2 linked regions of the Canis lupus familiaris genome follow. The protein of the gene in region 2 purifies or fractionates together with the protein of the main gene of each other region. This does not show direct contact. Links are inferred from orthologs where the notes say so. Each region holds a gene or a part of one and is shown on either strand. Other genes may lie near its edges.

Region 1 (14,557 bases), on a different chromosome or scaffold from region 2:
ATAGTGGCCCAGACTATTTTCACTGTGATTTTTCTCACCATTCGTGCCTCCTGATATCGAGATAACGAGTCATGACTAACCCTGCCATGAAATAGAATAAAACGGAAAAGGCATGAGCTGTTTCTTGAAACTTTTATGTCATTGATATAAACACATATTCTCTGCACCCTGTTTTGTGATACGAGATGTGTTTATTTCTTCCTATGATTTTACTCAGAAACTAATTAAACTGCCAAACTCCTCTCCTTTTGGGATTCTTTGTTATTCTATTAAAAAAACAAAACAAAACCACAGTTTATGGGTTTGAGAAACAGTGTTTTTTGAGGCAAAGCAATTGCATTATGAATGTTTTCTCCACGAGCAGAGATTAATAGAACTAGTGACTCATGCAATTCTCCACTGCGATGTTGTGACATTCCCCAGTGTGAATGGGGAAAAGGCAGCTATATCTCACTGTTAGAGTATTTTTGATTTACTTTATTTTTTTAATTTATTTTATTTAATTAATTTATTTTTTGATTTACTTTAGACTACTTCAGCATAGATAGTAGGGTGTGCTCATATACATGGATACGTGACGTGGGGGGCAGGGGCGGCTTGTTAACGTAGGCAGTTCCTGCTGCTGGTGCCCCAACTATGGAAACTTTTCCATATGGAAACATGTTCCGAAGATGGTTCTGAGATGGCTCATCTCTTGAAGGAATCCAACCCAGTGGCCTCCCAGTGCTGGCTGTACGTTAGAATCAGTGGAGGCTTTTAAAAAGAATTTAATAGTTACATTTTATTTTTAAAATTATGTAATAAGATCGACCTTCTCTTTTGTTGTACAGTTCTTTCTTTCTTTATTCATGAGAGACAGAGAGAGAGAAAGAGAGAGGCAGAGAGACAAGCAGGCTCCATGCAGGGAGCCCCATGCAGGACTCTATCCTGGGACTCCAGGATCATGCCCTGGGCCTAAGGCAGGAGCTAAACCGCTGAGCCACCCAGGTGTCCCCCTTGTGGTACAGTTCTGAGAGTGCTCATACGTCTGTAGATTTGTGTAACACTCTCACAGAATCCAGAAGAGTTTCTCCACCCAAAACTGCTCCACTGAGTGTCCAACCCCTTAGGATCACGCCTCCCTGCCACCCTACTCCCTGGTGATCATGACTCGTTGAGAGTTTTTTTTAAAAAAACAATGTTGGGCACCTGGGTGGCTCAGTTAGTTAAGCATCTGTCTTCAGTTCAGGTCATAATCCCAGGGTCCTGGGATCCAGCCTCCAATAGGGCTCCCTGCTTAGTGGGTAGCCTGCTTCTCCCTTTCCCTCTGCTCCTCCCTGCCTTATGTTCTCTCTCTGCCTCTCTCTCTCCCTCACTCTCTCTCAAATAAATAAATGAAATTAAAAATTAAAAATTAAAAAATTTTATTTAAAAAAAATTTTATTTTTAAAAAATCAAAATAAAAAAAATAAAATAAAGGGCGGCCTGAGTGGCTCAGCCGTTTAGCACCTGCCTTCAGCCCAAGGCATGATCCTGGAGACCCGGGATCGAGTCTCACATCAGGCTCCCTGCATGGAGCCTGCTCCTCCCTCTGCCTGTTTCTCTGCCTCTCTCTCTCTGCCTCTCATGAATAAATAAATAAAATCTTAAAAAAATAAAATAAAACAAAATAAAATAAAAAGACCAATGTCCAGGCTCTGCCGTCAGAATTTCTTGTTTGATTAGACCAGGGTCAGGACAGGGCTCTTTTAAAAAAGTTTCTCTGGTGGCTCTAATATGCATCCAGGGCTGGGAAACTGGTGGTCTCATACTCCAGAGACCACTACCACAAGATCTTTTACTCTCTTCACTTAAAGCAGCATTGTTTTGTTAGTACCATGGGTATTAAAGATGCTTTTTTTTTTTTCATTCTAGAAATGAATGAATTGTATTCAAAATAGGTGGGTGAGCTGTACAGGTACTGACCCCTCCCCCCAGCCCAAGAGAGGTCCGTGCACCTGGTAAACCTAGCGCCCATTGCAGGAAGACATGGGCCTCGTAAGCTTATCAGGCACAGGATCTGGCCAGAAATTTAGCTCCATCCTGTGCCTGGGATATTATAGGATTGGTCCTGAGCAACTCTTTCACACCTTTTGCCTGTCTAGAAGGCCTAAAGGATGGGGATCTGGGCCTTGATAAAGACTTCAGGGAAGCTTAATGTCTGTTCTGGTTACCTATAAATATTTGCTTTGCTGAGTTGGTCTGAGACTTGTTTTAATCATCAGAGGAGCCAGGGAGCATTTCTCTTGCCAAGCCTTATCTAGAAATCCCAGAATTTAAATTGTAATTTACCATCTGGTAGGGAGATGTTGGGGCAGGAACATTACTCTTTCCTTCTTTTAACTTAATCTAAATCTTAGCTGCACTTTAGAAACACCTGAGGATTTAAAATAAATCCTGAAGCCCAGACTACCCCCCAGTGCTGGTCATCCAGAGTGCCTGGAAGCGGAGCCCAGGTATTCCTCGTTCAGAAATTCTTCAGGTGTGAATCCAAGTTGAGTAACACTGTGTCAGAGGCTACTAATATCTGCCCCCAAATAATCTAATACTTTGAACAAATAAACCGGGTTCAATTTATTTAACTCAGTAAGTTGAACTTCACCTTCTGTCACCATTGCATCTAGATGTGGCTTCCAGCAAAGCAACTGGCTCGACACCCAGGTTTACCAGGCAGCTGTGTATCCTCTTCACCACTGGCATCTCTACTTTGAGTTATAAACACTCCTTAGAAGATGTATTGGTTATCTACTGCTGTGTAACCAATTACTCCGCAACCTAAAAGAATAAACATTTATTATCTCAGTTTGTGTGGTCCAGGAATCTGGGAACGACTTGTCTGGGTCGTTCTGGTTCAGGGTTTCCAATGAGGTTGCATTCAACTCGTAGTCTGATGGCTAGACTAGTGCTGGAAGCTCTGCTCCAAACTCACTCAGGCGGCTGTGGACAGGAGGCCTCAGTTTCTCACTGGTTGTTGGCTAGCCAGAGGCCTCAATTTCTTGCCACACAAATGTAAGTCTCAACATAAGGCTGGTACCTGGCTTCCAAGAGAGAACATAGAAGACGCTGCATTGTCTTTGTGACCTAATCTCTGAGTCACACACCATCACTTCCCTTCAATTTTATTTGTTAAAAGCCAGTGACTAAGTCTAACCCATACTCAAGGGAATGGAAACTAGATTCTACTTATTAAAGGGATGGCTGTTAAAGATTTTGTGGAAAAACCTTAAAACCACCACAGGAGGTAATTGGCCAGGGCTAAGGGAATGTAAAGATGTTCAAGTTGCCTTTATGGGGAAAAAAAAAAAGTCTAATTCCACCAGGATGCATAAACTTAACAGGAATCAGAACCCCTACAGAACCTGAAAAAGCATTTGGAGTGCAGATCACAAATCGGATTATCATTAATGTATTAATGGGCAGTTTTGGTAATTGCTTCCCATTTTTTAAGTCTTAAAAGGAGAAAGAACACACAGACCAAAAGAAGTCATCTCATCTTGCTCAAACCCATGTTTTCCAATGGATCAGTTCTTTAAAAGGCATGTACCTTATACAGAATTCCGTGTATGTGTTAACAGACAAACAGAAATGACATTTAATTTCAAGCTCCATTAGTAACATATAGGGAATGGTAAGAACAAGGTCGGCCAAGATGGTGAAGGACAAAAGTATTTCATTTCCAATTACTTAAAATAGTGTACAAATGCAGCAGCTGAGATAATGTTGAGTGCTTGCCAACTTAAAATAGAAGGGATTATAGGAAAGAAACAGAAGGGCTTGTGATATCTGAAGATCTCAAAATGCTCTATTTTCTATTGAAATAATCATTTTTGCAGCAAGCATTCAGATCATATATAACAGGTGTCTACAACCTGCAGGCCAAATCTAGCATGCTTTCTGTTTATGGAAAATTTTAGTGGAATACAGCCATACCAATTCCTTTATGCATTGTCTTTGGCTATCTTTACAGTACAGTGGCAGGGGCTCTATGCTCCACAAGGACTAAAAGATTCACTATCTGGCCCTTTAGAGAAAAAGTTTGCCAATCTTTGGTGTAGACTAAAGAAGGAGGATATATGAGTATTCTTGACTTCATTAAAATAATCCCAAAGCTTTCAACACAGATTCTCTGGGCCTTAAAGACAGATCCAAGCAAAAACAAGAAGATCAAGGGATTGGCAAAAAAACATGTCATTATTTATTAAAACTTGCTACCTTTAGGGCAATATGATGAAAAGTTAATGCCAAGTATTTCCTCTCATCCTAATCTTGTTCTTCTCTGTATCTATCTATCTATCTATCTATCTATCTATCTATCTATCTATCATCTATCTATCATCATCATCTATCATCTATCTTCTATCTATATAATGTACATCTGGAGTTTCCAGAAGTCATACTTCTTGTGACATGGAGAATATCCAGTTACAGCAGGAAGAAATGAAACTAATACAGAATACTATTTTAAAAAAGCATATATATATATATATGTGTGTGTGTGTGTGTGTGTGTATACATATATGTGTGTATATATATACATATATGTGTGTATATATACATATATATATATATATATATATATATATATATATGAAGTAATCAGTGTTCTTTAGGTTGTATGTGTTTGAAAAGAACCTCCAATTTGCCTAAGGGAATAAAGACGGAGGGAAATCAAAAGAAGTCAGAACCTGGGAATCTGAATACCATCCTCTTGATCATTCTGTCTCTCACCCTTTCCCACTTTCCTTCTTCCTCCCTTATATCCCAAGCCCCTCATTCTGTATTAGCTTCATTTCTTCCTGCTGCAACTGGGTGTTCCCCCTGTCATGAGGAGTATGACTCCTGGAAGCTCCAGATGTACGTTTCCTGCCATCATCAGAGCAGCCAGAGAGCATTTCTTTTATCAAGCCTCATAGAAATCCCAGATGGAGCACAACGATTGGTTTGGGGACCAAGTCTGTGGTTATAGGATTAGGCCTTTCTTCAAATGAAGAGCAGAAGGGGAATGGTATGCAGATGAAAGGCCAATCAGTGGATGAAACATGGCCTACTCCACCATAAAAACTGGCCCTCCCACAGCAGTCAGTCACAAGACCCAGGGACATTCTAAGAGAATATTTCATCTATTCCTTGGCTTGAGGGCGGTCGGGGGGGGGGGGGGCTCTTGTAAGTCTTAATTGATTAATGGATTCTAATTTGAAAACCTCTCTAGATTTCATAACTCCACCAATGTGTTTCTCAAGAAATTCTTTATTCTTCATGCTACAGTTGATGCTTCTAAGAAGAGAGACATACAATGTTACATCTTCTTTTGACCATATACCTTTCTCTGGTCAAATAATTCCAATTTCTTGGTTCCTCTTTAAGAGCCTATGGCTGAGGTTTTGCTCCTTTATCAAATTTTTGACTCCCACTAGATTTGTTTTTGCAGAATTTAAAGCACACCTTCTTAATATATGAAACTCAGAACGTGACACTGGATAGTGATCCATTCAACCCTGGCTTCATTTGGAATTAACATTGGAATCAGATTCTCTTGGGAAGGAACCCTAGCTCTGCCATTTATTCGTTGTATGATCTTGAAATACTTGATATTCTTAGATGAGAACTCTAAAATATTCATCTCATAAATATTTATTGAAGGTATCAGTATTTGGGTTGCAACAGTAAGTGAGAAAGTCTCCATCCTAACAGAACATATGTCAAGAGGACTATAGGTAAATTTATAGGCTGTTTTTATATACTGTGGTGAGTACTGCAATATGAAATATAGGATGTTCTAGAAGGACATAGAAAGGGTATGCAACCTAGACTGGGGTAGGGGTTGAGTGGGAGGTATACCCTTCCCAAAGGAAATGGTATCTAAGGGGAGACCTAACTCAATGAGTTAGGCAAAGAAGAGAGAGAAAAAGGATTAAACAGTCTTTCTGCAGAGAGTACATAGTACATTTACCATGATACAGGAAAGCATGATTTAAAGGAACTGAATATTAAGTATTAGTCAGGAATATTCAGATGGCAAGTGACAAATCCATTTCCAACTAGCTCAAATGAAAAAGTAGGATTTGCTTATTTATCAACCCATGGGTAGACTCGGCTGGCATCAAGGATGGTTAAGATATAAGGACCAAAAAAATGCCACAGGTCTTACCTCTGCCGGTGATTTTTGCTTGTCTTTGCGGGTTAAGTTTGTTCTCTACTTCTGTAGATTATTTTCTCCACACGACTGAGAACATGGACACCAGCTATCCTGCATTAACAAGCTTTGGCATTAGTTAAGGTGGCTTACAAGACATTAAGAGAGGAATGTATTTCACAAAGACGAGCCAGACTTATTATAATTCAGTATTAGAATGAAAATAACAAGGTTGAAGAGCTAAGATGGGGCCAGATCATGATTATGTAAGTTATATTTAAGAGTTCGTAATTTTTCTTATGTGGAATAGCAACTTATTAAATAACTTTATAATGGGGGAGTGTTAATGTTATCTTTAGAAAAATCACACTGGCACAGATTTTAGGGATTGGTGGGAAAGAGCAAATGAGAGAGGTTAAGGGACTGTTGTAATAGTCCAAGTAAAAAAAGGTAACAACAGCCAGAACCAGGATAGTAAAGATGGAAAAAAAAAAAAAAGGGTCAAATTTAAAGAAATCTTGGTAGCATCAGTAGGGAGTGAAGACAGAATCGAGGACAAGCTTTGTGTCTGTTTTGGGAAACTTAGTGAACTGAGATGCTGAACCTAGAAGTAGGTTTTAGGCAGGGAAAAAAGACAAATTCAGCTTTAAAAATTATAAATCTGAAGTGGAACAGGTCTTCAAAAGCCGGACTAAAGAAATGGATCAGGAAACATGGGTCTTAGACATGGATGGGGAGAGGGTTGTAGAGGAAAGACCTCCAGGACAAAAGCTGAAGGACACTAATATTTAAGGGCAGATAGAAGCAGAAAATCCTGGGGGGGGGGGGGGGGGGGGGAGGGGGCGGGGAAGAAAAGCTTGAGAAAAAGTAGCCAGGATGGTAAGCAGAAAACTAGGAAGAGACAGTCCAATAGAAGACAGAAGAGAATTCAAGAATATAAATTGACCTATTTTTTGGTTAACGGCTGTGCAACATGCCATAGCGTGGATGCACCACAGTGTAGGAATAAAAACAAAACAAAGAACTCAAGGCAGCTAAGCAATGTCAAATGCTCCAGGAGGGCAAAATTCTTCAGCTGTAAGATGGGGGATTCCATCAACCTTAAAGGATCGCCATAGGTATACAGTGGATCCTGTTTGCACAGTTTGCACACCTCCTGCATCATGAAGGCATTTGATGTCAATAATTTTCCTTTATGAAGTGAGTTGCTGTGAATTACCCGTGGCTCAGAAGATACTCTTACTCCAGGATCTTTTAAAATCACTCTTAGAAATATCTTGTCATTACATTGTACTAACATAGCTTTTTTGTGTTCTATTGTACTCATCCCTAATAAATGTGACCTTTCCTCCCCCTTCTGATTATGTCACTGGGACCAAATCCTTTGATTTATCAGCTGCACCAAAAGTCACAGATTAATTGGCAAGATAAATACAAGTGACATTTTGTTTCTGCTCATCTCATTAATGTAGCTCAACTTTGATTAGTTTTCTTCCAAACACTAGCTAGAATGGGACTATAACTTGGTGTCATACAGAGTACAATGGCTCGTGATGGTTGCTTTCCAAGGGAGGATTTAATAGTTTTTTTGTTTTGTGTGTGCTCACATGATAGTCTCTTACATTTTTGTACCTGGTTATCATTTCTTCCCCAAGAACTAGCACAAATAACAATTCTTAGCTCTTTCTTTAGGAAAAGGGGGAAAATAAAGTACCACTCCAATTAAAGAGAGAAGGAAAGTAGGAAAAGGTTGGGGAGGGCATTTTATAATTCATTCATATAGGCTGGTGCCTCCTAAAATGTTTCTCCTTATGAAAAACAACTGAAGAATAAGATCAGAAATAAGAAATCAAGGACTTTAAAAGATTTACCACTTGCTTTTTATAGCTTTATTGATGATTACCAAGTTTCAAGGTGGTTCAAATAATTAAATACTGCAACTGGGACATTAAAAATACAAACTAATTTACCAAAATAATTGTATTCTGAATATTATGTACAATATTATACATTTTACATTACATAAAGGGTTTTTATACATAAAGGTAAAATTTGATTCATGATTATTGAAAATCCAAAATACATTTGAACAAAACATTCCTATGCATACATACACAATCACTCCACCGGGATAATCAAAACCATACATGAGTGTGGTTATTAAAAACTAACATTACATTCATACAATGGTAGAAATTAAATTTGTCTTTACTAATTTGAGTGTATTACTATAAAAACCACACACATATGAATTATATAACCTAATTCTAGATATTTAAAAATCTTTATGTAAAAAGACAAATATGTCTTGATCTCAAAAGAAATTTTTTATTTTATTTTTTTTTTTAATTTTAGGGGACTTTTGTAGTCATTAAAATGCCATCCATGGGCATCACACAGGCCCGGGTCCCTGAAAATAGAAAAATCATGAGGGTCTATCATATATATCATCATGGGTACTTCATTGTATAGTTTTCAAAAAATAATCCTATTCAATTGTATCATCTGAAATGCCTTCATATTCATACTTGTCATCAAAGAGATTACATAATGAGGAACAGAGCTGATGGGGAAATACATATATTACTGTAGAGAACTAGATATTGAAACAAGGATATCACTAGATGATTTCAGTAGAACTGAATGGGTGTGCTCCCGAAGACCATACCACCCACACACACACACTAAATTAGTTACTAAACAAGGTGTCAGTCCTTCAAGAAGGTTAATACACTGCTGTGTCCCATCTTGTTTGAATACCGGAATATCAAAGTCCAGAACACTGTGGCGCGAGTTTAGGTACCATCTCCTTTTAAAATCCAATTCCTTTCCAGAACGGCTGTGATTTGAGGTAAAGCCAAACATTTTTCTAACTGATATGAAGAGTCTGAAAAACAACGTCTGTATAATCAAAATGCCCTTCCAGTTGTACGTCAGTCTGCAGTGGATCTTATTCCAGAGACAGAGGGACGAAGATTCCATCAGAACTATACGCAAGAACCTCAGAAAGGCAGCAGTTAATAAACTGACCATTCTCCTCAAAGGCTACACAGCGCTTTGCAATATTCCCTATTTGAAATCCTGTATTTTCTTCAAGGCTAACAACCGAACACCTGGAAACTAGAAGATAGAAAAGGAACAAGCTGAAATATACAAAATCGGTGCCCTTTCCAACATCACATGATCTATGAAAATGAGATTCAAAGGCTAAGGTTTGCTTTATTGTTTTTCTTCTCCTTTGTGTTTAGCTTAAATATAAAAGAAGCTCTAAACCTAGGTTATCAAAATATATTCATATAAATGTATGAGCATTTCTAATACAAAAGTTAAAAAAAAGTCTAAATTTTTAATTTTTGTAATTAAATATCCTAGAGTTTCAGTAGGCAGATTTGTTTCTGAGCAGCTTGAAAATAATCCGTTGGCTGAGCACCGTCCGTGAGGTGGGGCACTGCTACATTTCCGCTCTTCGCTGTGATTTCTCTGCAGCCCCAACCCCATCTTCTTCTTCCTCCTCCTCCTCCTCATAGGGTTCCTCTCGGCCTTTGGGGCGGTTGTCATCTCGAACTTCTTGTTCTTCGCCATCGTTGTTTTTTTCATCAGCCTTAAAGATAAAAGGAAAAACAAAGAGATAGGGGATAGAGTGGGTGATATAAATAATTCCTTTTTTTAAAAAAATGTGAAGTTATTCATTTGTAGAGAAAGGAAATGAGTGCAGAAAAATGTTCAGATACGCAGCAGTGCTAGTCTTTCCTAATCCTCATACTGTCACAGTTTTCCTAATTCTAGGTTGGCCTGTTAAACCGCTAGCACGTGAAACGTACCCACTGGTATCTACCCAACTGGCCATACGTATCTCCTACACATGCACAAGCACGCAGTGGACATCTCTGTCCTGTACGTACGTTTTCCTCATTTTCCCCATAGGTCTCTTCAGCATTATGCTCCAATTCCCTTTTTTTCTCTTCAGTCAAATCTTCCTGAGCCTGAAAGAAACCAGAGATACTAGGTGACCCTTTTTATCATTTAATATATTATGATATGAACATATGATAATACGTTCTTATGCAAGAACATATTTTGATTTCTAAAATGTTCGTTAAAAGTAGCAGAAATGAGGAGTCTGGGTGGCTCAGCTGTTTGAGTGTCAGTCTGCCTTCAGCTGAGGTCATTATCCCAGGGTCCCGGGATCCAGCCCCATGTGGGTTCCCTGCTCAGCCAGGAGTCTGCTTCTCCCTCCCTCTGCCCCTCCTTTCCGCTTGTGCATGCACTCTCTTTCTCACTCTCTCAAATAAACAAACAGAATCCTAAAAAAATAAGTAGCAGAAACTAAAAATAAGCTTGAAAAAAAGACAAGTCTTTTTGAATCAGAGACCTGATTTGTCTATTAGCTATGGAGAGATGTGTAATACACCCCCTACAAAAAATCATTGCCACTGATTTAGAGCCTAGGACTTACGTGTCTGAATTTCTCATTTCTTTGAATAAGTGTTAATCCTGCAAGTATAGCACCTGAAGAAATTCAGCTTATAAAATTAAAAACTCCCCTTTTCCAAATGGAGGAACTCTAGAAGTCTCAAGGCTCTGATAGAAGTGAGTTCTAGGAAGGAAAGAACCGTCTCTCTTACACTCAATTGTCTTCCATGCCTAGATGCATACCTGGCACACTGCAGCTGCTTAATAAATATTGATGAATGTATGAGGCAATGAATGCATAAGTGAATGAACACAAAAAACATCTGCTCTGTTAAAGACACAGAAAACAGACACCCTTATTACATGCACATGATGTAGTAAAAAAAAAAAAAAAAAGGTGTACATCTAATCCTATAATTAAGAATATAAAGTTCTCTGGCTAACATATCTAGAACCCAGAACACAAGCATTTCAATTTCTTCTTGAAATAGTTACTAAACTGCCCCAAATCCCTACATCTCTTCATTGTTCTAAGTAGTTTTCTACTTAAGTAGAAATAGTTCTTTTAAAAAATATTTTATTTATTTATTCATGACAGAGAGAGAGAGAGGCAGAGACACAGGCAGAGGGAGAAGCAGGTTCCATGCAGGGAGCCCAACGTGGGACTCGATCCCAGGTCTCCAGGATCATGCCCTGGGCTGAAGAGTGCCCTAAACCACTGAGCCACCCGGGCTGCCCAAGTAGAAGTAGTTTTAAGTAGTTTTCCTTTATGTGTGCTATTACTGTTTTAAGTAGTTTTAAGTGCACTATTTCTATTTTAGCCATTACTATTATGTATCTGTCATGGGTCCCAACTATTTTTTTCAAAACACAGGTCAAAGAAAGCGTCCGAATATTTTTGCAGACTAGTCTCTATTTAATGGTTACATTCCACAAAAATACAAGGTAAAATATTTTCTAGCTTAACCATTCTGAAAACCATATGTATGCCAAAAGACTGGAGTCACTTGAATTTCAAAAAATTGCTGCCCATCCATTAAGCGTCATGTGGAGTCCTGGGACTACAAGAAAATCTAACCTGTCCTACGACAGGGGTGTAAGAGTAGGTCTTCCTGAACAACACAGAGAATTACCAAATTTGGTTGGTGGGGGAGGAGTGTTAAAAATCCCAGAAATGGGCAGGGGAAGGAAAGCACGCAGGTGTTACAATGCAAGAGGAACAAATCAGGGGCTGCCTCAAGGTGTCCAGCCCAGGTGTGACAGGAATGAAGCACAACCCACCGCACAAGCTTTGGCAGGAACCTGGCTTCTTATGAGCTGACAACGATGACCCTTCAAAGACGCCCTAGACAGAGCCCAGCTTTTACGAACTTCTTCTAATCAGCCCAGTGTCGGCCAGACTCACAGCCACTGAACTACAATGGCATCCAATAAATACATTCTGGGGACAGAGGCACAGGGCATTCTTTGTATTTACATGTCCCGGTGGCGGAGCTTAAGAGACAGACAGACCTGGATTAAAACCTTGGCTCCCAAATGCTGGCTGTATAAAAATAAGGTCACTTGTTTCTATTAGGAAAATTTGCAAGCAAGCACAAGCAAGGCAAGTAATTCACTGAACTCCTTACAGCCATCCACAAGGCTCAAAAGTTAGCTCAACGTTGCCACTCCCGCATGACCTATCAATCAGTATTCTTTATGTTTTTGATGACCTATTATTTAAAAATTTGGCATTGCCAAAAAGAGTTATGGGTGCTTAAAAGTGACTGAAATGCTCAAATATATATATATATATATATATTAAGTGACTGCTTGAAAGCCCTGAGTGCTCATTTTCTCCAACTATAATTGGAAATAGCTCAATCTGAACACTCATGGGAGAGCGCGTACAAGGTTATTTGGCTACGTTCAGTGGCACTGGCAGCCTGTGGATGTCTGCCTACAGCATGGACATCTGGACGTCCTGTAATTTCACCCCTACCCACCTCACCATGTCTCTCTAAAAACAAGGTCGTTTTCTTATATAATCGTAATGCCATTGTCACCTGATAAATAATCCCATGGTACCATCTAAAGTCTAGCTCCTACTTAGCATTTTCCTGATTATCTTCAAAATGTCTATTGACAGCTGGTTTAGCCTAATCATTATCCAAACAAAGGCCATGCCTAACATCAGTTCCGCCCTGGCAAGATGCACTCCCTCCCTAGGAGAAAATGCTGATGGAAGGCATTTTTGCCTTAATGCTATTGACTTGTTTTGCTATAGAATGACCCACACTCTGGACTCACCAGCTTCTTTAAAGTTATGACTTAACTCATTCCTCTAGACCTCACATTTCTTACAAAAGGAAGTTAAAGACTTACATGAATTCAATTTGCAAAGCAAGAATTTTTCAAAGGTGATGCTGCAGATTTATTTTTTCATCACACCAAAAGGCACGTAACACTCGTCCCACTTTTCTTGAGACTGAAGTCGGACAGCGCACTCAGAAGGCAACTGCCTCATCCGGATGCTCCATGATAAAATTCCCTGACCTCCATTCACCTAGTGATATCATCCATTGATGACTGGCTCCTAAGTCACTTGTTTTAATTAGGGGTTACAGAAATGGTGACTCTCTAATTTCACCATTCCTTCTGCATTCACTAACTTCTACAAAGAACTTGCCCGTATCCATTACTTAGTTACTGTGCTTGTTATACTAAAGTACAGTAGCCTCTAAAATCAGACGTGGGGGGCGGGGGGGGGGGGCTCCAATCATGGTTCCAACAATAACAAGCTGGTGAGTTCCAAAAACTTAGCCAACCTCTCCGAGGCTCAAATTCCTCATCTGTAAAATAAAAAGGTTTGATAAAACCAGTGATTTTTAAGTTTCTGTCAGGGGGAGGGAGGGCGGGGGGTCATGGGCCCTTTTAAGACTTTGGGAAGAAATGCAAATGTATGTACATAGGCACAAATACACATCATTTTACACAGTAGTTTCAGGAGATTCAGACTCCCCTGAGTCTACCTGTGGCCACCTGTCCGAGGAATGCTTCTCCAAACAGTGTGTTCCTGGAATAATTCCTAGGTTCCTCCACAGGTAAGATCAAAATCTTCAAGGGTAAGGTCTGAGCCAGGAATTTGTGCCTTTCACACACACTCTCCAAGGTGACTCTTAGCCACAGCTAATAGTGAGAGCTACTAGCTTGAGTGACAATGACTAGGGGATTAAGAACATTTCTGGCTAGAGATGAACACCCTTGCATAAATTCCTTCTTTTATTCCCTGGAGATCTATTTATAGAAAATTTGGGTTGTTTACCAGCTGTCAATAGAATCTGAGGTAAGAAGCCCTCTGTAAGTTACTCTTTAGAGAGAACCACAAATAAAGATTTTGTGATTTTCAAATTTATTGATAAATACAAGATATATTCTTCATGTTTGGGACAAAAGTAATGCAAATTCATCTCACAAGGCACTACTGAAAAGGAACAAAATGATACGGCATTTCTAATTTTCAAAGATACTTAGACTTAAAAAGAGAAGCCAAAGGTTACTCCTTTCTAATGGAGACACACCAATTAGGTCTTCCACATTCGACCCTCCTTAGCATCTTGATAAAGCTGATGCAAACATCTTGTCAGAGATTTACATCACTACTCCTCATTACTCATTTTGAATTCACTGAAATCTAGTGTCTGGGGCATTTTAGAAATGGTCCCTATATGATGCAGCAAAGTTTAACTGTCAAAATAAGACAGATCTACTGAGGCCAAAATGGGCTTTGGTGTTACACATCAAAGATGCCATAGGATGAGACACCACGGACCAGAAGGCTGAACTTGAAGCAGTCCAGAATTCTGGGGTCCAAACACGGGGATGGAATGTGACAAAGGAAAGGCCTTCAGCACCAGTGGCTCTCGTGAGGGACACCACTGCTGGCTGAGTCAGGGGTCACGGGTCACGTGTGCGCTGCCTGGCCGGCTCTGTGCCATGGGCACCCACAGGCTC
Region 2 (15,942 bases):
ACCCTAGCACAGAGCCAGGTACACGGTTGGTGCTCGGTGCTCCATGAACACGTGCAGTGCAGACAGAGGCTCAGGGCAATAACCCCGTGCCATGCACAGATGCGCAGATGCAATGCTGGGTACCGTGCAAAGGTGCCACACACAAAAACCCACGCCAGTCCCAAAGCCCAACAAGGTGGCTCCAAGCCAGCATGAGTACACACTCCTTGTGCAGTGTGCAATGTAGGGCAGGGGTGCATGCAGGACAGACACTTGAGGCAAAGATGTTGCTCAGCTGGGACCGCCAACAGAAACCTGGGGGAAAGGACACCAGCCAACTCCCCAGCAGCCATCCCAAGAAAGGCTGAGACACCAGAAGGGGCATGGCGTGGCAATGGTGCAGTAGACTGTGACAGGGTTGGCCAGAGAGCACATATTCAGCTCCATGCAGTAAAGCACTAGGACAGAAACGTTATGTGAGGCAAAGGTGTACTGTGTTGGTACAGTCAGTGCAAAGGTGGAATGCAAAGCAGCTGTGCCCAGACATTCAGGAAAGGCCACATACCCAGTGCAGTGCAGGCACCCGCTGCAAGCATGCAGTGCAGCACAGAGATGCCATGTGATGCAAGGATGCAGTGTGGCAGCAGCATGCCATCTGTTGGCACAGCACAGTGATAGAATACTAGGAGCTGGGCAGCCCGGGTGGCTCAGTGGTTTAGCGCTGCCTTCAGCCCATGGCCTGATCCTGGAGACCCGGGATCAAGTTCCACATCAGGCTCCCCACAAGGAGCCTGCTTCTCCTCCCTCTGCCTGTCTCTGCCTCTCTCTCTCTGGGTCTCTCATGAATAAATTAAAAAAAAAAAAAAAGAATACTAGGAGCTGGTCCCAAATCCCTGGCGAGTCCACAAGTCCAGTGCCATGTACACTGCCCAGTGAGGTAGTACAGTGTAGAACAGAAATGCTCTACAAGGCAAACATGCAGTGTGGCCACGGAAAGCCCAAAGTTGGTTCCAGGCAGTGAGGCAGTGTAGGGGCTCTACCCAGAAACCAAGGAGAGTCCACCTTCCCGCTGCAGCAGTGACATCTGGTAGAGTGATACAGCACAGATGAGAGCTGCAAAGACACAAGTGGCAGTACGCGTACTGGATGGCAGTGCAGGACAACGGGCAGATGCAGAGGTGGAGCACACAGACCCTAGGAGGGTCCACACGGCCAATGCAACTCAGAATCTCAGCATGGTCATGCAGTGCAGGTCTGAGATGCAGTGCAGTGCTGAGATGCAGTGCAGTGCTGAGATGCAGTGCAGTGGCCCAGTCCTGAGGTCTAGGCCCAGGAACCCCAGAGAGGGTACGCTTGGCCGTGATGCAGTGCAGCTATGTGTAAGGCAAAGATGCGGCACACTACAAAAGTGTTGCAGGGAGCTTCCACGTGCTGTGATGCACTGGACACCAGGGACACCCAGACCCTGTGCCTCCAGCTCTGCCAGTCTAGGCTGGCTAATCCACCAACTGGGGACTGAGGACTCATTCCTCCACCCTGTCCTCCAAACCCCAACATTTTCCACCCCAGTGACTTTCCCAGGGCATGGGATGAAGCCGTTGCTGTCCATGGGATGGGAGGCCAGGACTGTACACATTGCCCAGGTATTTATATCTGAGCAGGGCCCCAGCATGCTGTCAGGCAAACAATGAATTCAGATTCTACTGAAAAGCTTTTGGGCAAAGCACATCCCCTGGCCCCCAGCCCAGGGCAGGGCAGTGTGGGTGGGGCAGGACAGGGCAGAGACAGGGAGGGAGACCTATTGGACTAGGCCCTGGGACAGGGTGACTAAGAAGTGGGATGAACAGCAGGGAGGATGTGAGAGACAAGCCAGATCCAACCAACCTGGCTGGTCACTCCTGCCCTCCCTACCACCACCACCTCTGGGGCCTGGACTTCATCAGAAGCCAGAAACAAACTTTTCTGCTCACACAGGTTGCCCGCACACATGCTTAATAACTGTTGGCACCTACACAGTGCTCACTATGTGGCAGGCCCTGTTCTAACAACATACTTCCACATATAAAATATATCCTCATGGCAACCCCATGCAGTGTGTTCTATAATGACCCCAATCTCACAGATGAGAACACTAAAGACCCAGAAAGGTCAAGTACTTGCCCAGGTGTTACACAGTTAGTAGTGATAGAGCTGGGATTAGAACCCAGAGCCCAGGCTCTTAATCACACTGTAGGTAAAACACATATTTACACACACGCGCAACCACAAGGGTGCACATGTACACATCTATAAACTATACACACACATTCTGAGCAACGTATCCCTCACCCTCTCAGCTAAGACCTATCTATCCTTGTCATCCACATAGATTTCTGACACCTCCCAGTTGTCACCTCCTTTTTTTTTTGAAGATCAAGTGAGAGTGCACATGCGTGTGACCAGGGGAGGGGAGGGAAGGAACACAGACAGAGGGAGAGAGAGAGACTAAAGCAGGTTCCACACCCAGTGCGGAGACCCATGCAGGGCTCAATCTCACGATCCTGAGATCATAACCTGAGCCGAAATCAAGAATCGGACACTTAATTGATTGAGCCACCCAGCTGCCCCAAGTTGTCACCTCCTTATCCCCAAATGCTCCATGTTCTCCTGTTCTCTCCATTTGACTCCCAACCCTCTGCTGTTCCCCAACAACACCTGTCCCCTTGGTCCCAGCTGTCCCGTCTCCAGATATATCTTCATCCCTAGTTATCTCCCATGCCCAGTTGTCCCCCATCCCCCAGCTGTTACTCTGCCCCCAGCTGTGATCCTGGCCATCAGATATCCCCAACCACACCCCTTCCCAATTTCCCCCATCCCAGCCCTTCCTACACAGCTTCTATACTACAAAACCTCAGGGACCCTTCTGAGTCTCTGTTCTCCACATCCCTTCTGATCCACCACTAGGTCCTGGGATCTGCACCCTGGGAATCTGCCCAAGACTTCATGAGCCTGTTGGCTGTCCACCTCAGGAGTCCTCCCCTGGCCATTCTGAAGGCAATGCCAACCCTGCCCAGAGCAAGCCAAGAGAGTATACTGGCCCCCATCTGTGATAGCCCAGCACCACCCTCCACCCACTCCAAGCCTTCCCTGTGTACCCAGGGGTTCACATCAATGCAAACACTGAGTGGGGACCAGCCATATACAAAGGCCTGGGGACAGGATGACAAGGACCCAGCCTAGCCTTCAGGGGACTTCCAACCAGTAGGCAAAAAAGATGGAAAACAACTCAGCAGGCTATCCCACATGCCTTATGGGAGAAACCTGAAAAAGCCATGCAGGGGGTGGGGAAGTGAGGAGTGTCCCTAGGGGAATAACAGAGCTGGACTCTGAGGCTGGATTAGCAGGCCCCCACAAGGTAAGAAGGGCAGGAGAGGCATTTTCAGTAGAAGGCACAGCATGTGCAAAAGTAGAGGGGTGTGAAAGAGCCTGGGGGGTTCTGGGATCAGCACTGGCCCGGTGATCCCAGATCATAAGGTGACAAGGAGGAATGTGGTCAGGGGAGGAGAGGCACAAACATGAAGCAGTTCCAGAAAGTGGGGTGTGCATCATACAGGGTTTGGGTTTCATTCCTGGGTACTGGAGAGCTTTCAGCTTGGGGCAAGCAAGTGGCAATATCCCATGTCTGCCCAATAGACATCATTCAGGTCACAGGTGCTGGAAGCACTGGGGAGTTGATGGAAGAATGGAGACCAAGGAGGGCTACTGCAAGAGTCCAGGCAAGTAATGATGGGCTGGGAGGAAGGGGACATAGATTCAACAAAACCTTCTTCCATGGCTGCTGAGTGACGACGGTTCAATCAGATCACTTCCACCCCCTGAGGTGTCCAGGCCTCACACCTCTAGGACAGCACTGTCCCTAGGACTTTCTGCCCAGATACAAATGTCCACCACCTGCACCGACCAACACAATAGCCACCAGCAACACGAGATTCTTGAGGATTTGAGGTCTGGCAAGTGTGATGGAGGGGCTGGTTTTAATTTTCATGAATTTTAAGCAATTTAAATTTAATAACCACACATAAGTGGCCACCATGTTGGAAAGTGCAGGTAGGAAACATTTCCAACGTTGTTAGAAGTTCTATCGTAGGAAGTTCTATTGAAAGTCAGCTCTAGACTGACTCAGCATGGAGAAGGAGAACCATCGGGCCCTTCTCCAGAGGCTCCTGGCCTTGGGGTCTAAAGGGAGATTGGGAGACAAACTCCAGGGAAGGGGTGTCAGAAGCCAAGCTGGCAGAGGCCCTGGTACAGAGCAGCACACAGTCATCAGGACACTCCCCACCCAACACATGTACACCCTTTCCTGGAGACAGAAACACCTACCACAGGGCGCCTCCCCCACTCAGACTCACAAACACTCGGATATTCTAACGCATGGGTACCCTGTTGCTGGACACAGATACCCTCACACTCCTATATCCAGACACTTGGGAACCCCACACCCAGACACCCGAGTACTCAGCCCCACATGTGGACACAACACAGAGACACTCTTGTACTTGAACACCCATTAACCTAAGACTGCCAGACACCTGGATACTCCCACCTCCAGATCCAGAGACACTGGGACATCCTTAGATTGGCACACCCTGATCCTCCCACAGCCTGGCACTAGGATGCCCACACCTAGATACTGAGGTACCACCCGCCCAAACAGATCTGCACCCAAACTGCAGAAATTTGACACTTAGGTACCAAGACACCCCAGCAGCAGTCTCCCCAGGATCCAAACAGCTGGTCACCTCCCTATCTCAAACTCAGAACTCAGATCCTACCACACAGGGTAACCAGATGGCTAGACACCCTGACAAGCCACACATATGTCCTGTGCCCCAGGCTACAACTATACGATCACTCACTCACACACACACACACACACACACACACACACCCCTCACCCCATCCTGACTGCCCAGATGCCAGGATCACACCTGCACACATCAGCCAACCTCCCACAACCCCACTTGCAGGGGGCACTACCGGGAGCGGCTCTCCTCCCCTCCCTGGAGCTCACAGTCAGGACACAGGACCCCACCTGCCTTACTCCAGGATCTAGGACAAGAGAACTGAGGCAAGGCCTGCCCTCCCTCCTCCCAGGACGCTCAGCTCAAACTGACGGTTGGGACTCCAAGCCTCCCACCACCTGCCGAGGCCTCCAGCACAAAGGCCGAGCCTGAGGGCAGGACAGGCCCTGCCAGCTGCTGGGGGGGCGGGGCTGGAGGCAGAACTGGAAGCTGGGGGGAGGGGCTGGCAGGCAGGAGTCTGCTCCCTTCCATCTCTGCCAGGGACTCAACCTCCCCAACTCACAGCTCCCAGATGACTCTGTACGTGGCCTTTTCACACACAACACCATCCCTCGGCAGAATTTTCCAGATTCCTGGAGGGAAAACGGATTTCTTTCATCTCTTACTTTCAATGGAGTCAGTGCGCCCCCATCTGGCTTCTCCAGCTCAGAACTTGACCCACTGGACCGCATTCATTCCTTCTTGCCACATTTATTCAGCAACCAGGATTGGGCCAGGATTTCTACCTGACACTAAGCAATCAGAGGTGAACTAAATACCCAGTCTCTGTCCTCACAGAGCTCATGATCTGGAAGGGAGAAAGGACCAATAAACCGTAATTACACTAATTACAATGCTATGAAAAAATTCAATCAACCCCCACTCTCCCTTCCTGAGCTAGAACAGGGAGTAACCAAAGAAGGCTTCAGGGAGGAGGTGATGCCTAGCTGAGACCTGAAGGAAGAACAAGAAGAGTTCACGAGGAGAAGAGGTGGAATTAGAGAGTTCTGGGGAGAAAGCACAGTGTGGAGGACAGAAGGGGGTTGTGGGAGGAAGGGGGCACAAGGCACCCCTAGCAACTCTAACTAGCCCAGCCCTGCACGAAAAGGCCACCCCACAAGTCCAGCTTAGCTTAGATGACAGCATGGAAGGATGGCAGCATGCCTCAAGCAAGCAGGTGCCTGCCCTGAATTCTCTCTGACACTTGAGCTGGGCAGGGGGCTGCCAAGGAACTCAGCACCCCCACCCGGGTGGAGTCAGGACATCCTGTGGAGTCTCCTCCCCCCAGCCTCAGGGAGAAGGGCCAGCTGCTCAGACAAGCCTTTATTGCCCAACCTGAAACCACTGGGCAGCCTCTCCCTCATTCCTGTTGTCCACAACCCCAGCAAGCAAGCAAAAGGACAAAATGAGCTAGAACACAGAGGAATAAATTATTGCCAGATTTGCATGACTGTGAGACAGCACACACCCACCCTTGGTGGGCCAGGGGACTCCACGCATTCAGGGAGCCAGGCTGATTTCCCCCAGGTTTGGGGCAAGGATACATCGTATCCCTTCTACAAAGCATTTATTTATGAATGAAGCCCTAAAGGTAATAGCTACAAGCGTCCCAGGAACTTTAGGAGTGAAGTGACTTGCCCAAGGTCACAAGGACAGCAAGTGGCAGGGGTAGAATTTGAACCCAGGTCCCCCTGGCTTCAAATCACAGCTTCTGGGGCTCTGCAACAGTCCTCAAAACCATCTTTTGTTCCCTGGCACTCACAGAGCCTTGCTCTACAATCCACCAAGTACGATGCCCCATTATTTTAATGCCCATAAGGCATAGGAGGAAACCAAGACCCCCAAAATGGAAGTAACTTGCCCAAGATCTCACTTCCATCCCAAATCTCAGTTCTTGACAGTCCCCCCAGCCCGGAGGGGGTGAGGCACAGGAGGGTTCTCGCAATCGAGCCGCGGTGGGAGGAGGGGAGGCACATAGCGAACCCCTCCCTCCGGTTTGATCTCGGGGTGGGGGGAGGGGACAAAGCTGCTGGAGGAGGGCTTGGAGGGCTTGGGGGGCGGATAGGAAGCCGGGCCCCAGCTCCCAGCTCCCAGCCACCCGCAGGAGCGGCTGCAGGAGCTAGAGGAGCGAGGCCTGGGAGGCCCGGGAGGCCCGAGGGGGCGGCGGGGCAGCGAGCTCCAGTCGGGGAGGCCGGGAGGAGTCCCTCCGGGCCCAGGTGGCCCGGCACGTGCCTTGGCTCCGATCTCTGCGTGGGGCGTCTCCCCGTTACTCGGCGCCCCTGGGTACCGGGCTCCAGCCACCCAAACGGGGGGGGGGGGGGGTGGGTTGAGAGGACGAGGCCGCGGGAGGACGACGGGCCGCCCCTGCCCGGGGCACGGGTGGGGCGCAAGTCGGCCGCCGCAGGGGCCCGGGCTGGGATCTCAGGCCGCAGGGAAGGGTGCGGGGCGGGGAGGGGAGGCCGACACACGCGCACGGCCGACGCACGGACACACAGACACGAGCCCCGCACCGGCACCGAGACACACGCTCGCACACGTACACGCGCGCCGCGGTCCCGGCAAAGTTGCGGAGTCCACGGAGGGAGTGTCCCGGGAGACCCCGCGCCCGCCGCGCCGCCCGCCCGCCCCGGGAGGGGGCGCCGTCCCGCCGCCGAGGCCCCGGCCCGCCCGCCCCGCGCCCCCGGCCCCCCCGCGCCCCCGGCCCCTCCCCCGCCGGCCAGCCCCGCAGGGGCGCCCTCCCCCCCGCCGCCCCCGCCGCCCCCGGGCCTCCCGGGCCTCCCCGGCCTCCCCGGCCTCCCCGGCCTCCCCGGCCTCCCGGGCGCCGCCTCGGAGCAGCGGGCCGCCAGCGCCGCGCAGAACTTGCGAAACAACAAACAGCCCGACAGGCCGGAGTCGGCGGCCGCGGGGCCCCTTCCTCCCCCGCGAGCTCAGGCCCGGCCCGACCCAGGAGCCGAGGGGGCGCCGCCGCGGCAACTTGGTCCGGGCCCGCGCGCCACCCGCGCGCACACACACACGCGCACACACGCAGCCTGACACCGCCCCCTCGGGCGGCCCCGGGCCCCGGGCACACTCGGCCACCGCCCAGGCGCGCACCACACTCGCACATTCCTGGACACGCAGCCGGCACGCAGCGACACACTCGCACGCTCACATCCGCTCCTACACGCGCATTCCCGGCACACTTGGCATTCCCCCGGACCCACGCGACCCCCCGGCGGCGCACACCAGCAGCCCCAGACACTCCCACACGTACACATCGCGCACACGGCGCACGGACACACGCGTTCCGGACCCGTTCCCACGCCTTCGCACACGTACACGGACCGCACGAGCACACACACCACACGCGCGTCCCCCGATGCACACGCGGACGGAATCCACGGAGCACTCCCGGTCACACGCAGCACACCAACCCACAGCACCCGCGCGGACACAACAGGCAGCACTCCCTGCCCGCGGCGTACGAAACGCAAACAAATGCAACACATTCGCATACACAACTCCGGCCACACAACCAAACTCAGATGCACACACACCACCTACTTGGCCGCACAAACACTACACACTGGCAGGCGCACGAGACGGCGCACACCCAGCGCCTCGATGCACACAACATGCCCCCAACACGCTCGCGGACGCACAACGCACACGGCACCTTTTGGTGCACACATAACTCACGGACTCACAACGCTCGCATACACACAACGCCGGGAGAACCCGATCGCGCATCCAGCACTCAGGCACACGCAGGGAGCCGAACGCCCGGTCTCCTAACACTTACACTTTCTTGAGAGCTACGCCACGGGCCCCGGGGGCTCCGCGGGGCAAGCTCGGTCGGACCGACGCGCGCTTACCTGCCGGAGTCTCGGTCTCGGGCGCGCAGAGCTGGAAGGTGAGCGCCAGGACCAGAGCCTGGGCGCGGGCCATAGCGCGCCGCCGCCTGCCCCGGGGCCCGGCGCAAGGGGTGCCGCCGCCAGAGCCCGAGCCCAGCCCAGCCCGAGGCGAGCCAGAGCCGGAGCGAAGCGGCGCGGCGCGGAGCGGGACTGGCGCCGAGTCCAGAGCGGGAGCCCAAGCAAGCGGGGCGCTGACGTCAGGCCCCGCCGCGGGTTCCGCGGTCTCGCGGCGCCCCCTGCCGGCAGCCTCGCGCTCTGCAGCCGGTCCGGTCTCGGGCTGCCCCGGCGCGCCCCTCCCCCACGCCCGCCCCCCCCCGCCCCCCCCCCAAGGGGTCCCGGGCCAGGTCTCTTCATCACCCAGCACCGACATTCTCAAGCCAGCACGCTCGCTGCCCACGCTTAGCTCTGCAACAGCGCTCTTGGAACAGAGACCCAAAGACACCCTGCTTCTGTCCCCTTTGATGCTTGAATGCCCTCCTACCTAGGCCCCTCCAAATGCACATACCTTCAAGGACAGAGTGCTCATCGCCTACCAAAACCAGATAGTTGGGTCTTCCGAAACGCTGGCTTTTAAAGTTGTTCATAATATTCCCTTATTATCCTCTTAATATCCACGGGATCTGTAGTGATGTCCCCTCTTTCATTTCTGCTATTGGTAACTCATGTGCTCTCACTTTTTCTCAGCCTGAGGAGAGGCTTGTTGATTTGTTGATCTTTTCAAAGAATCAGCTTTTGGTGGAGTTGATTTTTCTCTTATGACTTCCTGTTTCCGATTCCACTGATTTCTGCTCTAGTTTTTTCTTTCTTCTGCTTCCTTTGGATTTAATTTGCTCTCCTTTTTCTAGTTTCCAAAGCGGGAGCTTAGCTGATTGATTTTAGATCTTTCTTCCTTTCTAACATATGCATTTGATGCTATATATTTCCCTCTAAGCACTGCTTTTGCTGCATCCCATACATTTTTTCAAGTTGTGTTTTCATTTTCATGGAGTTTAAAATGTTTTTTTAGGGATACCTGAGTGGCTTAGCGGTTGAGCAGCTGCCTTCAGCTCAGGGCATGATCCCAGAGTCCTGGGATCAAGTCCTGCATTGGGCTCCTTACATGGAGCCTACTTCTCCCTCTGCCTAGATCTCTATCTCTGTGTCTCTCAAAGATAAATAAAAATCCTTTAAAAAAATAAATAATTTTTTTTATTTCTCAACACTTCTTCTTTGATCTATGTGTTATTTTCTAAGACTTTATTTGTTTAGAGAGAGAGAGTGAGAGCTCTAGTGCTTGCTTGGGTGCACTTGCAGGGGGAGGGGCAAGGGGAGAGGCAGAGGGAGAAGAAGGGAGAGAATCCCAAGCAGACTCTGCACTGAAGACAGAATCTGATGAGAACTGGATCTCACAACCCTGAAATCATGACCTGAGCCAAAACCAAGAGTCAGACACTCAACCAACTGAGTTACCCAGGTGCCCCCAATTCATGTTTTATTTAATCTCCAAGTCATTTGATGTTTTCCAGCTATCTTTCTGTTTTGATTTCTAGTTTAATTCCACTGTGGTCTGAGGGCCAACATTGTAGGTGTTCTAGTCTTTTAAAGTTAAGATGTGTTTTATGGCCCAGAATATGGTCTATCTTGGTGAATATCCCCCATGAGCTTCAGAGGAATGTATATTCTGCTGTTGTTGGATGGGCATAGTCTGTGGATGTCTATGATCTATGGTGTTGTTGAGCGTAACCATGTCCCTACTGATTTTCTGCCTGCTGATTCTGTCCATTTCTGATAGAAAAGTGTTGAAATCTCTAACTGTAATAGTGAATTCATCTATTTCTTCTTACAGTGTGGGTTTTTAGAAAATTATTCTTTTTCATGCCATGAAGTCTGCCTCCATCACTAATTCTCCTCAGTCCTAGTCTACATCTGGCTACACAGATTAAGTATATTTGGGCCTCTACCCAGTACAGGCCCTCATACAATATCAAACTTGTTGTCCATCACTATGTCCAGACACCTTCTATGTGCTTTACCCACATGGACTCATTTAATCCTCACCACTATGATTTATTATTCTCATTTCACAGTTGAGGGTGTTGAGGTACAGAGAGGTGACTTTTCCAAGGTTGTGCATTAGTATGTAGTGACACTGAGATTTGAATCAAGGCCATCTGGCTTAACCTGAATGGAGGTTGAGATCTGCTTCCCATCTGGAACAAATTAACAAATCCCAGCTAGTGAGTCATTTATTCAACAATTCCTATAAGCCAAGGTGGAAAAATAAAACAGAAATTCCTACCCTCATGGAGCCTACATTCCAGTGAGAAAACAAGAACAATAAACAGCCAAACAAGTAAATTCTCTGATATGTGAGATAGTGATAAACCACTGCTTCTGGTATATGGGAAATATTCCAGAGAAATGAAGGGAGAAATGAAGGGAGGCTGGGGGAGGGGAGCGGGGGCAGATTATTGCAGTTTTAAACAAAGCACCTACCGTATGACATATTCTTTTTTTTTTCTCACCCACTCAGAACATGAGCTCCCTAAGGGCAAGGATTTTGTCTTGTATCCCAAAACGTCATGTCCAACATGTAGTTGAAACTCAAAAAACACTGAGTGTACAAATGAATGAATACAGGCAGACATGGGCTTTGCCCTCACAAAACTTACACTCAGGGAAAAGACCAATAGCAAACATGCAAAATATGTCGTTATAATCTGTGATATGTACTCTAAAGAAAATGGAAGGAATGTCCTGATAAATAATTAGAGGTGATCCTACTTGAGTTAAGAGGATTCAAAGGGGGTTCCCAGAAGAAGTGATATGGTAAACATGTGAGCCAGGACCTGAGGCGAGAGAAGGAGCCAGCAAATCAGTGGGGAGGGACACTGTGGCCAGAAGGGACAGCCCATGCAAAAGCAGGAGCTGGTGCATTTGAGGAAGAGCCAGGCTAGGGTTGCTGGAATAGAATGGGGAAGAAAGGGGAACCAGATGTAACTAGAGAGGCCAGCAGGATCTGCAGGTCATGCAAGACACTATGGAGCTTTGGATTAAACACTAGGAGAGGTAAGAGGCTATTGGAGCATTAAACAGAAGAGTAAAAAGTCCTGATCTTTCACTTTTTTTTTTAAGTCTTCAGATGAACCAAGTGGGGAACAGACTATGGAAACAGAGGGACCCATGGGCAGGTGGATCTAACTAGCGGTAGTGACACAGGACAGAACCTAGGAGTTCAAGATCTATCTAGGCCTTCCTGTGTACTGCCTCCACTGCAGGCTGGCTCCTCACTGAGGGTGGCACAAGTGAGGTCAGCCTGGGCCTAGAGGAGGGAGGGCTGAAGGCTTCTGAGCTCCTGCTTCTCTCTCTTGTGAGCCCAGATGAGCAACAGGCTGAGCTAGGGAAGGGGTCGAGGGAGACAGGCAAGGAAGGACCAGAGGCAGAGAATCAGAGAATCAGACAGAGAGAGAATCACAGGGAGAAAGTCAGAAGCAAGAAAAAGGTGATGGGGAAGAAACAGATGCTGGAGAAGGAAGAGACAGGAAGGACTCACCAGAACAAAAAAAGATTTTTTTTCTCAAGAAGAGAAATCCAGTGACAAGAAGAAACAGCCAAGAATGATGCTGTTTGCAGGGGATTCCTGTGAGAGCTTCTTGACAGGAGTTTACTATTGATGCCTTTTTTTTTTTTTTTTTTTTTTTTGTATGTGGACACTGAGGCTCAGAAAGGATGAGGCACCTTGTCCACTTACAGAATAGTGGATGGTGGGCCCAGGATTCAAACTTAGACCTGATGGATTCCACATCTCCTCTCACTCTTTATATAGAAGACTGCAGGGCAGAGACTGTCAGGGAGAGAGAAGGAGAACACAAGCAACAGGTGAACAGATGAACAAAGAATGTTCTGCTTCACTTGAAAAAGGATAACAGACTTCTAGAATCTTTGAGTGGCCTGGAGTGACCTGCCCAAATCTAGGGGAAAAGGAGACAGCACCGCAGATAGGGCCAGGCCATGAGGAAATTCAATTACTTTCAACTCATGGAATATTTATGACGCCTACCCTGGACCAGGCCCCATATTGGGTACTGGTGTCATGGAGATGCACCAAACACGACCCACTCTTGCCCAGAGGGGGGAGTGGACACGTAAATAAATAAGGGACTGTGCCCTAAAGGCCATAACACCAGTTCAGAGAAAACACAAAGGCAGAAAAGGTTGACTCTACCTAGCAAGTTGGAAAACAACATCAAAGAAATGATATCTGAGCCTGGAGTTTCCCAGGTAGGCAAGGCAGGAAGAGCATTTCAGGCTGAAGCAGCAACCCAAATAAAGGCATGAGACATGGAATTGCTAGGAAAGGTGGGTATCAGGTGCTGTTGGATCATGGGCTATGCGCAGGTCTTATAGCAGGAGATAAAAACAGTGTGTGACTCGGAAGGTAGAGGGTATTGGATACAAGGCCATGAAAACGAGACTTGAACCCCTCAATCAGTAGTTCTCCAGCAAAAGTCCTGGGGAAACCAGGTGCTCCTCAAGCTAAGCTGAGGGGTTCAGCCACTAAATTAAAACTATAGCCATCTCTTTCTAACTTGCAAGAAGGTACTTAACTACTGAATAGAATCTTCTTTTTTGAAGGTGCTTTTCCTCCGTCACTTTTCTGAAGACTTTAGCACATGTCAGTTGTACAAGAGAATGGTATAGCGTAGAATTGCGGTTTCATTTTGTTTTGTTTTGTTTTGTTTTCTTACAGTTTTAAATCTAACATGTCAGTAGTTCATGGTGTCCTACCAAGAACTGTGGCTTCTGGGTCTAAGTACTGGGGAGTCACAGAAGAACTTTAAGCAAGGAAAACACAAAATTGGATCTTTCTGTTTAAAAAAAAATCATTCTGGAGGTGGCTGGCTGGCTTAGTACGTAGAGTATGTGACTCTTGAGCTCAAGTTTATAAGTTCCAGCCCCACATTGAGTATAGAGATTACTTAAAAATATTTTTTAAAAAATCATTCTGGAAGCCTGGGAAAGGAAAAAAGAAGGAAAGTAGGGGGAGAGGATTTCAGTTAGGAAGAAGGCTCCTGACATAGTTCAAATAAAAATTGGTGTCCTGGACTGAAAAGTGGGGGCTACTGGGATGAATGAGGTGGTGACTAAGTCCAGCCTCCAGGAGGAAGACCTGCTGGATGATTCTCCAGGCTTTCCAGCAAGGCTGTCCAGGGAATTCAGAGGATCCAATTTGGTACAGAAGATAATGTCAACAGTTCAGTGTCACCTAGAGAATCTTCAACAGATCTGTGTGTGTGTCACAGTGAAAACAGAAGGTAAGCAAAACTAGGCATTGTGGGTATGTGCGTGCGCACGCGCGTGCGTGCATGGTCAGGCACATGCACACTCACATACAAGTGTAACACCAAGTCTTTCCTCCAACATGGGACATCTACTTTCTCTATTAATAAAAACAGGTACAAACATTTTTTGAGCACATAGTATGAGCCAGACCCTAAAACACTGAGTGCTTTATATATGTTATTTCCCATCTAATCTTCACAATAACTTAATAACATTTATCAAATGCTTTCATGTGCCAAGAATTGTGCTAAATGCTTCCAGTGAATAATAGCTCACTTGATCTTCACAACAGCCTTGAAACAAATACTACTATTTCCTTCATTTTAAGGATAGGGAAATGGAGACACAGAGAGGCCAAGTGACTTGTCCAAAATCCAATAGCTGGAAAATGGCAGAGCCAAGACTCAAAGACAGTTTTGCCAGAATCCAACAACCGGCAGCTTTCGGGAGAGCACTTTGCTTTCTTCTCTTCCTCAGAGAAAAGGCTTGGAGCTGGCAAGTTTTGGGTCAATAAAATCTAGAGAAAGGAACTCTTCCTTATCCTTCAGAGCCCTGGATCAGTGTTTGCCTAAGCCTGTTTCCTGGGCCACCTGCATCAGAATGTTCTTGAAAGCTTGTAGGAATTGTAGATTCCAGGACCTGTCGCCAAAATTCTAATTCAGTAGGCTCGAGATGTGGCCTCAGGCGATTTTTATGCACACTGAAGATTTTGAGTAGGACAGGCTCCAACAGCACTTCCTGCAAGAGCCCCATCTCCACCCTGGGCTCCTTCCAGAGCACCTTTCTCCTGCAGACCCATGGGGAAATAGCCTGGGAGCTTCAGGCACTAGCCCAAGGTGGCCAAACTAGAAAGCTTTAGGACGAGGAGATGAACCTAAATCTTCTAGCTCCGAGCCTGAGTACTCTCATCTCCACACCAAGTTACACGGACGCTATTCATTGGTAAAGGAGGTGAACTTTGCCTCCCTGTGCTGTTCCAGGGCAGCAGGGATTCAGCGAGGTGATGCCCTAAAAGGTCTGGCACAGGTGAGCGCTGGGAGGGAAGGGTAAATGACTTCCCGCAAATCGAACACCGAATCGCAGCCTGCAGACACAGCGCTGGGCCGCTCTCAGACGCTCCTATCTGGGAGAACAACTTTGACCGGCGCCGAGGCTCCGCAACTCCCTCGGGTACCTCCACCTTCGACCTCGCGCCCCTGCACCCCCGCGCGGCCTCCGCAGGCGCCACAGCGCGGGCCACCGAGGAAGAGGGCGACCTTTTAAAAGGAGCGAGGGGCGTGGTCACGAGACGGGGCGGGGCGGGGCGGGAGGCGGGGCGCAGGCGCAGGCGCGCGCGGGCGCAGGCGGATGACGTCAGCGCGTTGTCGGGCTCCGAGATTCTGCCGGAAGCATGTGGGGCCGCGGCGCGCTGTTGGGGACGCGAACCCCGTCCCTCGCTTGGGGCCGCGGCTGGTCTGCCGCCGCTCCCTGCTCCGCACCTGCCGAGTCCTCCCGGGTCCGGGCGCTGATCTATGGGCACCATGGGGACCCAGCCAAGGTCGTCGAGTAAGAGGCGGCGCCTAAACGGGGCCAGGGGTTGCTGGAGGGGGTTAGGACGCGCTGTGGAGAAGGGGGGACTGACGAAGGAGGGACCGGGGCGGGGGGGGGGGGGAACGAAGAAGGCGGAGAGTAACGGGACCCCGACGGAAGCCCCCGGCGCGTTGGGAAGCTCGGAAAGTCGGTGCTTCCAGGTAGTTGAAGGCCGGAGAGGCACAGTCGTGACGGTAATAGTGTAGCTAACTTTTTTTTTTTTTTTTGAGGTACAATTGACATACGATATTATATTCGATTTAGGTGTACCGCATGATGACTCGATATGTGTAAATATTGCAGAATGGTTGCCACAGTAAGTCCAGTTAATTCTCTGTCAGCATACATGATTTTCTTTT

What was found.
Region 1: the proteins of PTPRU (region 2) and GOLIM4 purify together in Homo sapiens (affinity purification with mass spectrometry; 3 studies listed by BioGRID and IntAct, counting the BioPlex papers as one, with this or other methods). This does not show direct contact. The link is inferred for Canis lupus familiaris from reciprocal best matches to the Homo sapiens genes PTPRU and GOLIM4.

Annotation. Positions count from the first base shown.
Region 1 is NC_049255.1:33,048,247-33,062,803, forward strand, and holds the end of GOLIM4 (Golgi integral membrane protein 4), read right to left. Parts: intron 10,135-14,557; coding exon 10,054-10,134; intron 9,753-10,053; coding exon 9,603-9,752; 3' UTR 8,009-9,602; downstream 1-8,008. UniProt on the Homo sapiens protein: Plays a role in endosome to Golgi protein trafficking; mediates protein transport along the late endosome-bypass pathway from the early endosome to the Golgi.
Region 2 is NC_049223.1:70,748,913-70,764,854, forward strand, and holds the start of PTPRU (receptor-type tyrosine-protein phosphatase U), read right to left. Parts: upstream 8,810-15,942; 5' UTR 8,727-8,809; coding exon 8,654-8,726; intron 6,011-8,653; exon of another isoform or gene 5,426-6,010; intron 1-5,425. Other genes in the region: MECR (enoyl-[acyl-carrier-protein] reductase, mitochondrial), read left to right, coding at 15,405-15,559.